Linked DNA regions of Daphnia pulex. The protein of the gene in region 1 purifies or fractionates together with the protein of each later gene. This does not show direct contact. Links are inferred from orthologs where the notes say so. Each region holds a gene or a part of one and is shown in the gene's direction. Other genes may lie near its edges.

Region 1 (5,408 bases):
AAATGTTTGAAGTATACTTGATGATAATGATGATATTGGCTCCTAATCACTTTTCCGTATCCAAAGGTGATCTTGATGTCAATGGGATCAATGGAGGATGCTTTAACTTGGATCATGACATCTTCAGCCCCACAGCTATTTGGAGCTACCATGTCATCAATCATAGCAATTGACTCTGGAGCTCCAGCATATGAATTACAAACTAAAGCCCTCATGCGTGTAAGGGGCTTGACATTCTGTTTGATTTGTATCCCAATGATGAATCCAATAGCAATTCCAGACAAGAGAAAGTAAATATGGCTTTGATCAACTGCTGACAAATACTTCTGAATAATCTGAAAACTCAGCATGGATTGCAGATGATAGAGTTTTTGTTGGATATAATCTAAAACACTTTCGAAAAATTGACCCATTCCATTGTACTGAACAGCCAGAGACTGTTTCAAACTATTGATCCAAGAACGGCAATTCTCAAGAAACCAACTCCATTGCCAATTGGCCCAGGTATGGAACGGAATACCTGAATCGCTTGATCCCACTAAATTAGAGAAAGCTGAACTGCTTTGATTTGATACATAGTTTAAGGCATTTTTGGCTAACCGTGTGCTGTTTTCAATATAAGGCGAAATCGTATGCTGCGTTTAAAAAAGAATTCTTTTAATATTTATCTTCAACAACCAATTCAACAACAAGAGAAAATCTTACCTGCAAATAATCGAACCGCTCGCCTATTTGAAAGGTAAGCCTGTCCATTCTTACGCAAATTTCTTTTTGGCTTAATACGAAGAATCCACACTTGAAAAGGATAATTTAATTAACATTTTTCGTAAATCTTTTAAAATCAAAACAAACGAAGAAAAAAATAACGTGAAATAACGTGATACAAAACATATGATGGCTCTAAATATCGATCATTTGTTTTTTCTTGTAAATCGATAAGATTCCGATATGCAAATTTTTTTCCAATTTTAACACTAATAAATTAAAGTGAATGCACGTTTACACGATTCGGAAAATACAATTGAATCTCAGGAATAAATATGGGTTGAACTCACGAAAACGCTAGGTTTAAATTGCGCGCGTTTTATAGAGCGGTTAGAACCCACTTGACATGTACATTTTTGTATCTTTAAAAAATTCTAAAAGATAAATATTATTTTTCCTTTCTTTATTCTCGAAGTAAAAGTCAGAAAGGACGTTACCAATAAACAAGGACCTCCTAGTCCTAGGCATTACATGATATTTCGGCGCTAAAACTACTAGCGTTACGGCGGACGATAAATGCGCTACCTGTATTGGAAATCGAATAACTTATCCTTTCCCTTTTTTTCTCGGTATCTTTCTTTTCCACGAACATTTTCTTTGCATTTGGAGAATCTCATTGAAAGGAATACGATGTAAATTATATTGCTTGGGTTACAATCTCCTCTTGGTGCTTAATTTACTCTTTATTGACGGAGAAAACGCTGGCTTAGCACAATCTCGAAGGCCAACAAATAAAGAAAGCTATAACAAATGTTTTAGTCTATTAAATTACAACCTATTTTCGTTTCCTATAGAATTCGTGTAAGTCGGTGCAATAGAGATACATCCGTGGGTGTTATCAGTCTCTCGGAAATAGACAGGTGGATCAATAAATGGATCAATATTTTAAGATATAGCAACTAGCAAGCAGCTAACTTGCGGTACATGCATGAAAATAGATGCAAGGGAGGGGGGTACGAAGTACGAGAGAGGCGGCCTATATCCGTAGATGGTTTCAAAAGCGAATTGGCAGCGTCGCACTCGCAGAGTTAACAAAAGTGTACGACGGCTTTTGTGATTCATCGTGTAGACTACTCGCAGGTACGGCCTCGATTTTAACTTTGGAATTTGTTTAAAAACATTTCGTGAATTAACACTTCGGTTGTGATTTGTCGTAGTGGAAAGGGAAATAAGGTTGTTAGATGAGCATTTATAGTTTTCGGTCCAACAGTAAATATATCTCGTGTCTTGCATCCAACGAGGGTTTCACAAGGGGCTTATGGAAACGGGCGCGGGCGATGATTGTTGCCGGCGTCCCCCCCTTCTTTTTCTTTGAGCAAAGATGGCGTCTCTGAGCCACATGGCCTATCCTTTGTATTGTTCTTGATGTCGAAACTGCGATTTCAGAACATTGCTCAACGTCTTGCTGAAGCCTTTTAATTGCAATCCATTTTAATTTTCATTGTGCTTTTTATTATTTGGTGAGGAAGTCGGGTATTCACACCATCAATTACAACGTTTATAACTCACGTCGTAGTTGATTCTGAATGATTTGTGTCGTTGAATTATTTGAAGTGTAGAACATTTTCGTAACTGGGTAGTAGATAGGTTCATCAGTTGTGTGGTTTATTGATGTTACCTGTAATTTAATGTAATTTTGTCTTTGCAGAATTTCTGTACATAGTTGTGTGTACATACAAATCGGTAATTGGTTTGGGGCACAACAGTACTAAACCAGTGGCAATCTTGTACGAATGAGAATGAGTTCAACAGCTAAGAAAGGGGATAAAGGCAAGTCCTCCACCAATGCTTCTCAGACTTTATCCAAGGACACAGCATCCCATTCTTCCTCAAAGATGGCAAATTCCAAAACTGGAGAGTCAAAAAATGATTCCAGCAAAGCAGTTGATCAAATCAATCCTAAGCTCCTGGTAAGTTCGATGCCTACAGTTTTCATTTAAAATCTGTAACTGGTGCAAATAATGATATTTTTTTTTTAATGTTTAGCCTACTGCTGAGCAACTTCGTATTGCTCAGATGATCAGTGACAGCAGAAAGGATGATCCAGAACTTCCAGAAAAAGTCAACAAGGTGTGCAGTTACATTGAAGAATGTATTTTGTATTTTCTAACTCAGTTCTTTGTGTATTTTTAGCTGGTGGAGTTGACCAACTGCAGTCCTGATGCAGCAATCATTGCTCTCCATGATTCAAATAATGATTTGGAACATGCCATTGCAGTCCTCCTTGATGGAGAAACTGAGGTAGTTACTTTTGTGAAAAATAAATTAGTGAATATGTACCAATTTGATCAATTTTAGGGTGACTGGGAAGTGTCAGGGAAGAAGAAGAAACCCAAGCAGTCAGCTCAGCAACCAGTAGGTGGTGATGGAACGGAGGGTGGCAGTGGAACAGGAGCCGGACGTGGAAGGGATCGCGAGAGGGACAGGCCAAGAAGCAGTCGTGGTGGCCCACCTAGGCTGCGAGGACGCGGCCGTGGTCGAGATAACAAGGAAAATGTGGAAGAAGGTGATGGGGAATTTGGCGGATCTCGTGGAAGAGGATCTCGTAGCGGCCCACGTATGTCAAATGGACCTGGAAGAGAAGGATCTAGTGGTCGAGGTAGTGGTGGTGGTGGTCGAGGTGGTCGAGGAGGTTTCCGCCGAGGACAACGTGGCCCTGCCCCAGTCGCTGATACATGGGAGGAAGGTGCCGAGTACTCAGCCATGACAAACGTTGAGCCTTGGGGAGTCGACTTTCCATCGGCAGAAGATTGGGATAACGAAGAATACATCGGTTCATTGGTTGAAACAAAGGTGTTTACACCGTCCCAATCGGCTGCAGCAAATGTTCCAGCACCAACACCCGTTATTCCCGAACCTACGCCGCTGACGAACGGTTCAACATCAATTTCTAACGGCGGCGGTAGCAGCAGCAGTAGCCATGTCGAACCTGTTGTTCCTGTTCCTGCTCCTCCACCTCAGGTTCAATATTCCACCATCAACAACAGCGCGCAACAAGGCATCGACTTGAATGCACTGCTCCAAAAGACGTCTGGCGTCACAGTGGCTGGATCGTCGATGCAGCAACAATTCCTACAATATAGCCAAGCAACTGATGCACTAAAAGCTGCTATGGGTGTTGGCGGAGTTCCTTCATCCAACATGAAATCCGCGAAGCCTTTGCGAGCTAAAATCCCTCCACCTTCTAAAGTATGTTTAATTCCCATTAAGTAAATTTGTAATTGAACTAACGGCTGCTTTATTGTTCCTTGTGCAGATTCCTCTCTCTGCAGTTGAAATGCCGGACGATCCAATTGTTTCCGGACTGGATGTGAAATTTGGAACCCTTGATTTTGGTATCGAACCTTCCGGTTTCGATATGAACATCGACGTTTCGATGATTCCTTCATCCACAGCGAACATGAATATGTCGAAGCAGCCAGATCATCATCAGCAACAACAACAACAGCAGCAGCAGCAGCAGCAGCAACATCATCATCATCAACATCAACAGCAGCAGCAACAACATCAACAGCAGCAGCAACAACATCAACAGCAGCAACAACAACAACAGCAGCAATCGAAACATGGACTTATGTCGAAGATGGAACAGCAGTACGCCAGTAATGCTTCTGCTCCACAGCCGCCTGCACCTTCAACATTGCCCAAACCCGATTCTTCTCTAGGTGGTTTTTCCGCGTCGTCAGCATCGGCTTCTCAACAATCGATGGCGACGACATCCACTCAAGTAAAATCGACCAATAGTCCAGCGTCGTATCCATACGGCACGTCTTACGCGCCTCCCGGCGTGAATAGTGCTTCTACTCAGGCAACGACTACGGGTGTCTCTCAGCCGGCTGGTGCTTATCCCTCCAGCAGTCAGACAAGTATGTGCCTACCTGAAAATGAATTCCTGTATTTGCTTGGCCAACATTATTTTAATCCGCATATCTACTTTCAAGGCGGTGTGTACAGTAACAATTCATCCAACTCGGGATATCAAGGTGCTAGCAGTCAAACCGCTTACGGTTCTTATGCCCAGCAACAGCCACAACAGCAACCTCAGCAACAACAGCAGCAGCAACAACAACAATCTAGTTACCAGACGTACAACAACAAATTGAGCGCTGCCAGTAGCTTGAATGATGCATCGAGCTCCGTCTCTTCGCTAAGAGGAGACATGCCCAGTGCTACGGCTGCGTCGGCTTCTTCTAGGCAACCCAGCGCTGTAACGTCTGCAGCTACTGCGGCAAACAAGCAATCGGGCACGACGCTTGCTGCTAGTGGTTCGGGACTTCCCAACATGCCTCCTGGTGTGCCAATGCTTGGTCCTGGCAGTTTCATCATGGGCCAGGCTCCCGGTCTGCCCTATTATGCCGCCGCCGCTGCTGCTGGTATCCAGCATCAACAAGTGTACAGTCTTGAAGACATGCAGTATCGGTATCCCCACCTAGCTGCAGGGTACTATGATATGGGCTATCAATCGCCTACCAGTTTGGGCGGAGGACGCGATGGAACTCTTGCTTCGTTGGCTTATGCCACTGGAACCGACGCTAAGTTCTCGCGCAATGAAAATAACTCTCCAGTTCCTACCTCGCTATCTCAGGTTAGTTGTTAGTAGTGTATAAATTTTTTTATGAACTTTGATACTTATTCCCATCTTG
Region 2 (5,366 bases), on another chromosome or scaffold:
CATATCAGCAGCTGGATTGGTGATACCACCTTTGGGCTACTTCAAAAACCTCTACCAGTAAGTGCTGCACATTCTTCAATAAGTTTACATTACAAGATTTGATTTGTATTTAATGAAATGCTATGTTGCAGGATGATTCGAAACCAAGGAGGTATTTGCATTGCAGATGAAGTGCAGACAAGTTTAGGTCGCATTGGAGGAGATTTTTGGGCGTTCCAGGTTGCGTCATCAAATTAATAAGATAAATTGTTGAAAATTTAAGTATCATAAGAAATCTTTTGTATTCTAGTTGTATGGTGTCGTGCCAGATATTCTCACTTTTGGAAAATCCATAGGAAATGGTTTTCCCATTGCTGCCGTTGTAACATCGAGAGAGATAGCAAGTTGTTTGCCAGAGTATATGAATACGGTAAATCTTGTAAAAAAAGCGAAACGTGTCACCCCATTGTGTTAACTCGCTTTAAATGAATTCTTTTAGTATGGGGGAAATCCTTTGGCGTGCGCAATTGGTAAAGCAGTCTTGGAAGTGATTGTCAACGAAAAGTTAATGTATTCAGCCAAAATGGTTGGAAAATCCCTTTTGGAAGGACTGAGAGGATTGATGTCGAAGCACCCAAGTATCGGAGATGTTCGTGGAATGGGTCTTTGCGTCGGTGTGGAGGTAGTTTGTGGACGTCCAGATATGAAGCCTGCGACGATTCTAGCTAATCGCATTCTTTATTTGTAAGGAAACTTTTAAATTTATGTAATTAATAGAAGTTTCTCCAAATTTAATGCCATTAATCAATTTGAAACAAGAATTAAAAGTAAATACTAAAGCCTGTTTTTTTTTTTTTTTTCAAAATGCTGTAGGTTGAAAGAAGAAAAGGTGATTGTTGCTACCCAAGGTGAAGAACGTAATGTAATCGCCCTAACTCCACCACTATGCTTTACGTTGGACAATGCCCGGCGTGTCGTTGAAGCATTCGATAAGGCTTTCACGAAGGCCAACCAGAGTGAAGAGTCGGAACCAGTAAGGCCTAATACGTCTTTTCTCGGGTACGTTAATATTGGCGCTCAAAATGAATTGATTTGACATTATGTTAACTTTATTTTCTCTTATGAGTAGACTGGATAATATTCCGCTCAATGTGATGGGAGGTGACGAAGAAACAGATACGTCTCCTGCTAAAAGACAGAGAACCTATGAGGAAATGGACTAAAGATATTAGTTAATGCGACTTTTTTCTCGTCTGTTTTATATATTTGTGGAAAAATCCTCATAGTTTTATAAGTTTTTGTTACTGCTCTGTTAACGTTCTCTAAATCCTGCGTTAAGTCCGTCATATTTCCAGCATATCCAAGATTTCCCGACGGCGATTTAGGGGGTGGTATACATACAGTTCTTAAATTCCTGAGATTCTGGTCAAAGTTGTTATAATTTCAAAATCTCATAACTAAGGTTAGGAGTTGTATCTCATTATGTCTGGGTCATAACTGGATTAGTTTAAATTTTGGAGAGGAAATATCATTGTGGGATGTTTGTTTTTACTTTGTTATTGTAAACATTGTGTATTCACTTATAAACTTTGGGACAAATATACGTTGTTAACCAATCCTACGAAATTTCTCTTTCATTTTGTTACTGTATCCTTTTTGCTGATGCCAACACATTTATTAAGCAGAATGCCCCATTTCTTTAGGTGATTGGAAACTAATAAAATTGTTCTACGAAATTCCTCCATGAATTTTGACGCTGCTATTTTAAGCTTTTCTTGACTGCAACTATACTGTCACATCTCACATGAACATGGCCTCGTGACTCATTCGTAATGCAAAAAACGAAAAAAATAATCTCTTATTACGCAGAAGAATATTTTTGCATAGCAAAATGCTCGCAGTTTTGCAAATTGCAATAGACTTTTTAAAAAATGTTGGATTTGCGATTTGCCTGCTGCGCGGCGAAATATTTTAAGTGCGTAGAATTCATTTAATGAAATCGAGAAACGCTGGCTGAAGCGCCTCCAAGCGGCCCACAAGCCGAAACCTAGGAAAAGAGAGAAGAAAAAAGAAGCCGAGCATTGGTCAGTGCATAGTTGCATGTGTTGCCGCGTACGAATTGCTTGTTACGGGTATTGAAAGGTAATGTGTGTTTTATGTTAAGCTTCATTATGCCGAAAATTGAATATTTGAATCACGAAATTCTTTAACCTTTGCTCGTGACTATATTTATAGCTTTTACCTACCAAGTTAAGTAACAACTCTATGAAAACTGAAAGCTGTGATCGGGTAGAAATTTTTGAACTCCCACAGCGTGAGGGGTGATACTACCTCGTTGTTCGTTCGTTGTCTTGACAGTCCCATTTTGTTGTTCGTTTTCATTCAAATTTAGCCAGTAACTTTCTCTTAAAGTATTAAATAAGTTTGTTTGTTGCCAAGGTAAAATTATTGCTTATCTGGGTTGTGATTTTAAGACTAAATTGTAAAAGATAAAAGTTGCCACAGAATCTGACTCAGTCCCTTTGTGCAAGATAAGAACTCTTGATAAATTAATATAATTCTTTTTTTCTTAACTAGGTTCAATTGAAGTTATTAGACTTCAGTAAACCATACAGATCTTCCCACTTCAACTTCATTTTCTAGTGAAAACTATTCTTCAATAAAATCAGCATGGTCATGGAAGCCGTTCCGAGCCCACAATGTGTGGGAAGGGAGTTTGTACGTCAGTACTACACCCTTCTCAATAAAGCTCCTCTGCATTTGCACAGGTATCTATAGACTGTGGTGTAACTCATGTAAGGATCTTGATCTTGTGGTAGTAATTTTGTTTTAACATCAGGTTTTACAATCATGATTCGTCATTTGTCCATGGAGGACTCAAGGAACGTTTGCCAGAAGAAGTCCATGGTCAACAGCAAATCCATCAGAAGATCATGGAGCTCGACTTCCATGATTGCAAAGCGAAGATCTTGTTGGTTGACTCCCATCGCACTCTAGAGAATGGAGTTGTTGTCCAGGTATGATGTCTTACTATTAACATATTATCCACAGTTACCAATGTGCATCCTTTTTCCAAGGTATCTGGTGAGCTGTCCAACAATGGTCAACCAATGCGCCGGTTTGTTCAAACTTTCGTGTTAGCCCCGCAATCAGCTAAAAAGTACTACGTTCGCAACGACATCTTTCGCTATCAGGTAAGTTACTACTAATTATCCTGATTGGTTTCATAAATAAAACGTTATTCATTTTCAGGACGATGCTTTCTTTGACGATGAGGATGGCGTCGAAGACCGTCCAGTTGAGAACGAGAATGAAGTGCAACAACCGCGTCCCGCTCCCGTAAGATTCGTTAATTGGTCTTCATCGAAATTCAACCATTTCAATTACTTTCTGTCTTAAACAGGTTGAAGTTAATCATGCTCCGGTGGCTCCCGCTGTCGTTCCTCAACCAACGGTCCAACAAACTGAGTTGACTGCCGGACATGCAATTGGAATGAACGGAACTGATCAACACGTCGAAGAAGAAATTCGTCAGAGGACTACTCCTTCGGTCACCACATATACGGTTCCACCTGTTCAACAACCAGAACCCGTACAACAAGTCTCTCGTCCACCGAAAGTTGTTACACCTCCAACTGCAGTAGCAGCACCACCACCACCTGAGAAGTTCGAAGCTGCTCCCGAACCGGTTCGAGAACCTGAGCCACCCTCTGTTCCAGAGCCAGCACCTGCACCTGCTAAACGTGCACCTGAGACAGTGGCGGCTTCTAATCCATCGGTATGTCAAAATATACATTTCAAGTATGTGCTCTAGTGTAAAGTGGGATTGTTTTATCAGGCTCCCTCAGAACCGAAGACCTTTGCAAACTTGTTCAAGAACCCCGGCGCTTACAATGGCACAACTACTGGTCTCCCCTCAACCGTACCTCCATTTGGTTCGGTGAAGAGCACTACTACAACTAGCTCTACCTCTACTGCTGCTCCTGCTACTGCTCCTGTTACTCAGGTAGTTGTTTTAAAATCATATCAGTCAAGGTTCAGAAACTTTACGATTTACTTTTTTTCATGTTGTAGACCAACACTGAATCTACCTCGGCTACTACAAACGTCAATGGTAACGATAGTTTCCCTGCTGCTGGACAAACACAGCCGCAACGAAATAACTATCAACGCTCTGCACGTCCTCCAGCGATGGGAAATGGTCGCACCGTATCGGGTCCAGGATCTTACAACAACAGAGATCGAGATCAAGACCGAGGTAAGATTTTCTTTACATCTCTATCCGTGTGTATTTAATTTCAAATACTTACTTAGGCGAAAAAGGTGAACGGTGGTCCGATAACCGTGCCCCATCTCGGGACTCGACTGAAGAGATCGGAGAATGGAAACAACCCAATGGAGACGGTTACCAACGTGAAAAGGACCGTGAATTCCGTCGATATGATGACAATCTTCAAGTTTTCGTTGGGAACATTCCTCACGTAACAACTGAAGAAGCTCTCAAGGTATTTCCTTTGCACCAACCAAAGTAGGGCAACCATTAATATTGGTTCTTTTCAGGAATTGTTTGAGCGTTTCGGCCCCGTTCTTGATGTTAGGATCCACGGCAAGAATGGTGTCCGAGCTGCTGGTGGAAGAGCTCCACTCTACGCTTTTGTTGTTTTTGAATCGCCAAAGGCTGCAGAAGCTGCGCTTGCAGACAAGGTATTCAACTTAGCACAGAGGAGGGAATGACAGTATAATTGAATCAATATTCTTTTTGTAGCCCATGCTGAATGGAGATCACCGACTGAATGTTGAGCCGAAGCGTCGCAACGGCCCACCCAACTCATCAGGTCCTCGCGACGGTCAGCGTGGTGGTTCGATGAATCGCGGAGGTGGCATGGGAGGTCCTGGTAGGGGAGGGCGTCCCATGGGTTCTATGGGAATGGGCATGAACAGCGGCCCACCACGCGAGGGAGGCAATAGTGGAGGTGGTGGAGGACGTGGAATGGGAAGCGGAGGTGGACGTGGTGGATACATGCCTCGTCGTCAATAAAGAAGGAAGGCCGTGTTTTCTTGCAAACCTTTTAATTTTCAAACTTACTTTCTTTGTCCTCATGTAGGACTTTCTCTCCACTACGTTTAATTTAACCTACCAGTTTATTATTATTTTTTTTTTTTGCGTTTTCTGATACACCAAACCCGTACCAATCGTACTAAAATCTTGGTTTGTCTCGTTCGTTCGCTCGCTCTGACCCCACTGTCTCATCCTACTAACTTGATTGGACTTTCAGTCGCAATGTACATATTCGCATGGGTGTGTCATTCTTTTTTTTTAAAAAACTATCAGTAGCACAATGTTTTTGTCACTTCCGTAAGAAAAGAAAAACCTTAAAAAAAAAGAT
Region 3 (5,097 bases), on another chromosome or scaffold:
ACTGTCTCTTAATGGAAATTTACGACGCTCCGAAATTCAAGAAATACAACAACATAATCTTCAAGTCAAATCTGCTGCATGTCGAGCAATTAAACGACCTGGCAGGAGTGAGTTGTAATCAGTCTTATTCAATCTTGGCAAATATTTGACAAATTTTATATTGCAGATTTTAGTGGCGTTTTCAATGAACTTTCCCGTCTTAAAGGGTCGTTGGACTTACGCAAATCTGTAGTCATGGATGTTATCAGCGAATGTCTCAGATTTAAGCGTCGTATTTTGGCTGATCTTGTTAGGCAATTTCTTAACAGCCTTGGAAGAGACCCAGAAGTTTTATAATGTGTAATTTTTTGTGAAACTATTGCTCTCAAGATGTAGGCTTGAAATTCAAAACAGAATCATTAAGCTGTTAAAACAAAAATGATGTGCCCAGTTTTAGTATTTATTTCATTTATCTTCCATGAACAAGTTGATATTGTGATGTACTTGTAAGCATGTAAGCACACCAATGAGTGATACTGGAGCGTTCCTTCGTGTGATTTAAAAAAAAAAATTTAAGTAAAATTTGGTAATCAGATAATTATTTTTTTGTGAATTTGTAACATTAATTAGTTTAACCTAATCATGTATTAAATTGATTTATCGTTTAAACTGATGCAGTAGGGCAGACAAAGTGCTGTTAAAATTTGGCATCGGGTTCGGGTTACGGATGCTACTTTTGTTGGTACCGTGGATTAAGTAACAATAAAAAGGTCTAGAGGTGCATATTCTCATATGCATCGGAGAATTGTTCCGAAGCTTCCAAAAACTGCGGTAATTTTCCTGAGTTGGATAGTTCTTTTTTTTCCAATGGTCTCGACTCGAATTGGCCAAATCACGATTCAGTTTAACTCAATTTGAATCTTTTATGAATATTCGGTTTTGGGTATCCATTTCGATTCACGCTGAATTTTTACATCAAAAGATTACAGCAAATAAATCTACTTTTTGTTTTTGTTAAGTATAATCGAAATTGGCGTGATAAAATACTTTTGGAAAGAAGCAAACTATCAGCTTCAGCTGTCGTGACCGTTAGTTGTGTGCCTATATCATTCAAGTATAGCGGTAACACTTTCTTTTTCTGCTATTTAACTTCTTTTTTTTTTAATTGAGACGAATTGTTTTTAATTGAGACGAATTGAGGTTGGGATTTTTATTCTAATAAATTGTTTTCCATTAGAATGTTTTCTTTTTTTCCATTAGAATCAGCTCGAATGCGATTATTCACATATTTTTACATCCATTATGGTTTTGACTTGAAATAATAAATTCCGAGTCCTCGGGATAGCATAAGATTTCTTAAAATTTACACAGAAACTTAAGGAATTTTCTTAAGAAATGCAAACCACCGGTAATTTTTGAAACATTATTCTAGGCTCAATAGAGAGCAAGAAGTTGATAGACGATCTTTCGTAAAAGTTGATAGGTAACCATCAACATCTTATTAATCCCAATTCCCAACTGTGAAGTGTTAACCTGATTTTATGTCAAAACAAATAGGGATCGCTTTCGTTTTAGCAACATTCCATAAAATTGGAATTGTATTTTACATTATCTAATGAAATATAGTTTTAGTCTGTATTCTAATTTTTTTTAAGATGCAGTAGTTTAACGAAAGCGACACGTGACGAAAACTGACGATTGGCAATAGAAAACCAACTCTGAGAAAACGTTGATCATTAGAATAAATCTGGCAAGGGGAAACGAGTCATAGGCATTGCAATTTGGAATTGAGCAATTTGGCAACGGTGTTCGAGCTCCCCGAGGAAAATGGAGGATCTTGCCGTTGAAGTCCGGGGTGAAAATGGGGCTTGGTATAAGGTGAATAATAAAATACATATTTATTAATTTCTGTAGCAATGTCAATTCTGTATAAATTTGAATTATTTCTTCTGGATTCATCATGTATAACGATAATATTGTTTATAGTCTTTTAAGTCCGAAAATGTTAGGCTGGAATCGGTAGTGAATGAACCGGCCCTGCCCTTTTTGATAATATGGCTTGGCTTGTAGAATTTGTTAGTATTAAGGATTTACCGACTGTTTTGATGCAAATTTCTACGTCCTTTTTTATAAATTTTCATAGCTGTGTTTAGTTTGTCTTATTTTGTGTTATAACTATTTGAATTTTATGCCATCTTCTACAGGCATTTGTCACTGATGTTCATGAAGATGAGATTTCTGTTGCATTTGAGAATGAGTATGTATATTAAATAAGTTAGAATTTACCAAACCAATAATTACCCTTTTTTATTAGTTGGCAGCCAGAAACAAAGTTTCTATTTTCAAGGTCCCGCTTACCTCTCAAGGACAGCAAAGGTCCATTTACATTTGTAGAAAACCAAGAAATTGAAGTTTACTCAAAAGCAAATGAACAGGAAGCATTTGGTTGGTGGAAAGCTGTTATTAAGGTAATTTTCTTGATTAATTCATTTTTAAAGGAAACAAGAAAATATTTCTGAAAGATGATCTAGAATTAATACATTGAAATTCATTGGTATTTATTTTATTCTTAGATGATCAGAGGAGAGTTTTATGTCGTGGAATATGTTGGCTGGGAGATGTCATATTCGGAAATAGTACCTGGTGAGAGAATTCGTCCATCAAACACCAATTCACCTTTAACAAAAGCCAACTTTTTCAAATTTGAAATTGAGGTGCCTGAAGAACTACGGGAATAGTGAGTTTTACTTACACTTGTTAACTTAACAAAACCCAAAACAGTATTAATTATTCAAATGAAATGAGAAAAACAATATTTATTTGGTGTATACCAAAAACACCTAAACCAAATTGTAATTGCACCACTATCTGTTTCAGTGCTAAGAGGGATGGAGTACACAAGGAATTTCAAAAAGCGATTGAAGCAGCCGTCTGTCGATATGTACCCGATAAAGGAATGCTTAGTGTTATGGTAAGTTTTGTTTTTCTTTATTTATTGATCTGGTATTAATGTATTAATGTTTTTGATTGTTCAGTCACGGCACGAATCCAGTCGAAAGCGAGCTGGTCTGTTGCAGGATATGCATTTTCGTAACCTGACGCAAAAAGTGGTGCTGCTCAAAAGAACTGAAGAAGCTGCTAAACAGCTCGAATGTACAAGAACACATTCTAGCGGAGGGTGAGTGAATAGCGTCAACAGTTTTTTGCATTTCTTACTTAAGTTATCTTATTTCTGAAGCTTTACGGAGGAGTTCACGGTGAGGGAGGATTTGATGGGATTGGCTATTGGAGCGCATGGAGCCAACATTCAACAAGCTCGAAAGATTGATGGGATAACCAACATTGAGCTATTGGAGAATTCCTGTACCTTTCGTATACACGGAGAAGTATTTCATTTACCGCCTTATTTTATTTCATGTGGTTTTGTTGTAATTGGTGGTTTCGAATTTCAGATTGAAGATTCAGTAAGAAAAGCTCGTGGAATGCTGGAATATGGCGAAGAATCCATTCAGGTGCCTCGGTTTTTGGTCGGAAAAGTCATAGGAAAGAACGGGCGTGTCATTCAAGAGATTGTCGACAAGAGTAATGTTGTCCGGGTTAAAATTGAAGGAGACAACGAACCTAATCCGACTCATCCTCGCGAAGATGGATTGGTTCCATTTGTGTTCGTGGGCACAGTGGACTCCATAGCCAATGCCAAAGTCCTTCTCGAGTATCATCTAGCACATTTGAAAGTACGAAATTTTAGTCTAGTTCCTCCTAGTATCACCATTTGTAGCCTCTCTTTGCAACGTTTTTGTTTCTATTCATTCAGCATGGTTGATTCCAAATCAGTATTAATTATACTTGACATGGTTACTTTCTGTAGCAGTAGACAATCATACATTGAGTTGTCATCCCCCTAAAGATTTTTAAGCTGCTGTATTAATTACTCTTTTTTGACTGTTTCCAGGAAGTGGAACAATTACGCATGGAGAAATTGGAGATCGATCAGCAACTTCGCTCTATTCACAATAGCAACCTAACATCTGCCCCTACCTTCCCACCTCCACGACGCATTGATAGGTATTTTGGCTGTTTGTTTGTTTGTTTTATTTTAAATTTCTTGGCATTCCTCCAATTAAATTTATTTTTAGGGGGTATAGTGCTGAACCAGATAATGGAGGAAATCGTGACCGAGGAAACATGACACGTGGTCGGGGTCGAGGTGGAGGGAGAGGAGCACCTGTCAGCAGTGGTCGTTTTGTGGAAAGATTTAATGTGGAAAGAAGTGGGATTGCATCATCGGTGAGGGGTCGAGGAGTAACTCGTGGTCGAGGAGAACGGGCTGATCGTCTGGAACGAAATGAGCACGTTGAACGAGGAGATCGCGACAGCGGTGAGTCTTTACACACGTGTGTATTTTCATGACTGAATTGAGGAGAATGTTATGTCCATTGATTAACACAGTATCCGTCCTTCCCCATAAGGGGATGATATGATGTGTGCTTTTCGTACACTTTTCCAATATCTATGACCTACAGTAGTTTTGCGATTCCCTGGAGGATGGGAAAACATTTGGGCAGATGTTGTCATGTCTTCTAGTAATTTGTTGTGATTCGTAGACTAGGGGATGTGTTGAAAATGCTATGACTAATGGAAAAGTGGTTAAAAGTTGTTTCTTGTGCGAAGTTAAAAGGGGAAATGAAAAGCATTTTGTTCTAGTTCAAACCTGAACTGCTTGTCTTTTTTTCTTTTATGTGACTGCATTTTTCGGTGTTCTTGGTCTAATTTCCACGTGATCGTTTTCAGGTTTTCGAGGTAGATCAAGAGGATTCCGACGTGGTTTTGGAGATCGCATGATGGATTCTGAACGGCGTGGTGAAGAGGAATCGGCGCCAGATAGTCAAGATCTTTCGAGTGCTGCTAGTCTAGACAGGGGTAATGAGCTGACGATATGATTTTCGTTTTCTTCTTGTATGCATTGGTCTTTCAGTAACTATCATTTTTAATATTTTAGATTCCGGCTCAAGCAATGAAGAATCAGGACCGGGCCGCCGTCAACGTCGTCGTAGACCACGCAAAGTTGACTCGGAAACAAACGGACGGCCCAACAGTAATATAAATTAATCAAATCTA

The links. Proteins that work in one complex are often made in the same cells at the same time.
Region 2: the proteins of protein lingerer-like (region 1) and ras GTPase-activating protein-binding protein 1-like purify together in Drosophila melanogaster (affinity purification with western blotting; 3 studies listed by BioGRID, with this or other methods). This does not show direct contact. The link is inferred for Daphnia pulex from reciprocal best matches to the Drosophila melanogaster genes lig and rin.
Region 3: the proteins of protein lingerer-like (region 1) and fragile X mental retardation syndrome-related protein 1-like purify together in Drosophila melanogaster (affinity purification with western blotting; 3 studies listed by BioGRID, with this or other methods). This does not show direct contact. The link is inferred for Daphnia pulex from reciprocal best matches to the Drosophila melanogaster genes lig and Fmr1.

Annotation. Positions count from the first base shown.
Region 1 is NC_060028.1:8,099,230-8,104,637, forward strand, and holds the start of protein lingerer-like, read left to right. Parts: upstream 1-1,798; 5' UTR 1,799-1,845; exon of another isoform or gene 1,846-1,938; intron 1,939-1,953; exon of another isoform or gene 1,954-2,352; intron 2,353-2,413; 5' UTR 2,414-2,498; coding exon 2,499-2,675; intron 2,676-2,751; coding exon 2,752-2,835; intron 2,836-2,898; coding exon 2,899-3,006; intron 3,007-3,063; coding exon 3,064-3,954; intron 3,955-4,021; coding exon 4,022-5,350; intron 5,351-5,408. Other genes in the region: reticulon-4-interacting protein 1 homolog, mitochondrial-like, read right to left, coding at 18-635, 706-753. UniProt on the Drosophila melanogaster protein: Acts in the nervous system to mediate the control of copulatory organs during courtship.
Region 2 is NC_060021.1:6,438,420-6,443,785, forward strand, and holds the start of ras GTPase-activating protein-binding protein 1-like, read left to right. Parts: upstream 1-1,965; 5' UTR 1,966-2,121; intron 2,122-2,271; exon of another isoform or gene 2,272-2,418; intron 2,419-2,556; 5' UTR 2,557-2,649; coding exon 2,650-2,747; intron 2,748-2,818; coding exon 2,819-2,996; intron 2,997-3,056; coding exon 3,057-3,173; intron 3,174-3,231; coding exon 3,232-3,318; intron 3,319-3,382; coding exon 3,383-3,757; intron 3,758-3,817; coding exon 3,818-3,985; intron 3,986-4,053; coding exon 4,054-4,237; intron 4,238-4,293; coding exon 4,294-4,484; intron 4,485-4,539; coding exon 4,540-4,683; intron 4,684-4,744; coding exon 4,745-5,017; 3' UTR 5,018-5,366. Other genes in the region: ethanolamine-phosphate phospho-lyase-like, read left to right, coding at 1-57, 132-219, 290-409, 479-723, 853-1,038, 1,109-1,202.
Region 3 is NC_060025.1:5,456,683-5,461,779, reverse strand, and holds the start of fragile X mental retardation syndrome-related protein 1-like, read left to right. Parts: upstream 1-1,696; 5' UTR 1,697-1,806; coding exon 1,807-1,857; intron 1,858-2,183; coding exon 2,184-2,236; intron 2,237-2,293; coding exon 2,294-2,447; intron 2,448-2,552; coding exon 2,553-2,716; intron 2,717-2,856; coding exon 2,857-2,950; intron 2,951-3,014; coding exon 3,015-3,157; intron 3,158-3,217; coding exon 3,218-3,365; intron 3,366-3,431; coding exon 3,432-3,713; intron 3,714-3,931; coding exon 3,932-4,044; intron 4,045-4,115; coding exon 4,116-4,357; intron 4,358-4,770; coding exon 4,771-4,899; intron 4,900-4,978; coding exon 4,979-5,074; intron 5,075-5,097. Other genes in the region: integrator complex subunit 6-like, read left to right, coding at 1-107, 167-336. UniProt on the Drosophila melanogaster protein: Polyribosome-associated RNA-binding protein that plays a role in neuronal development and synaptic plasticity through the regulation of protein synthesis of mRNAs.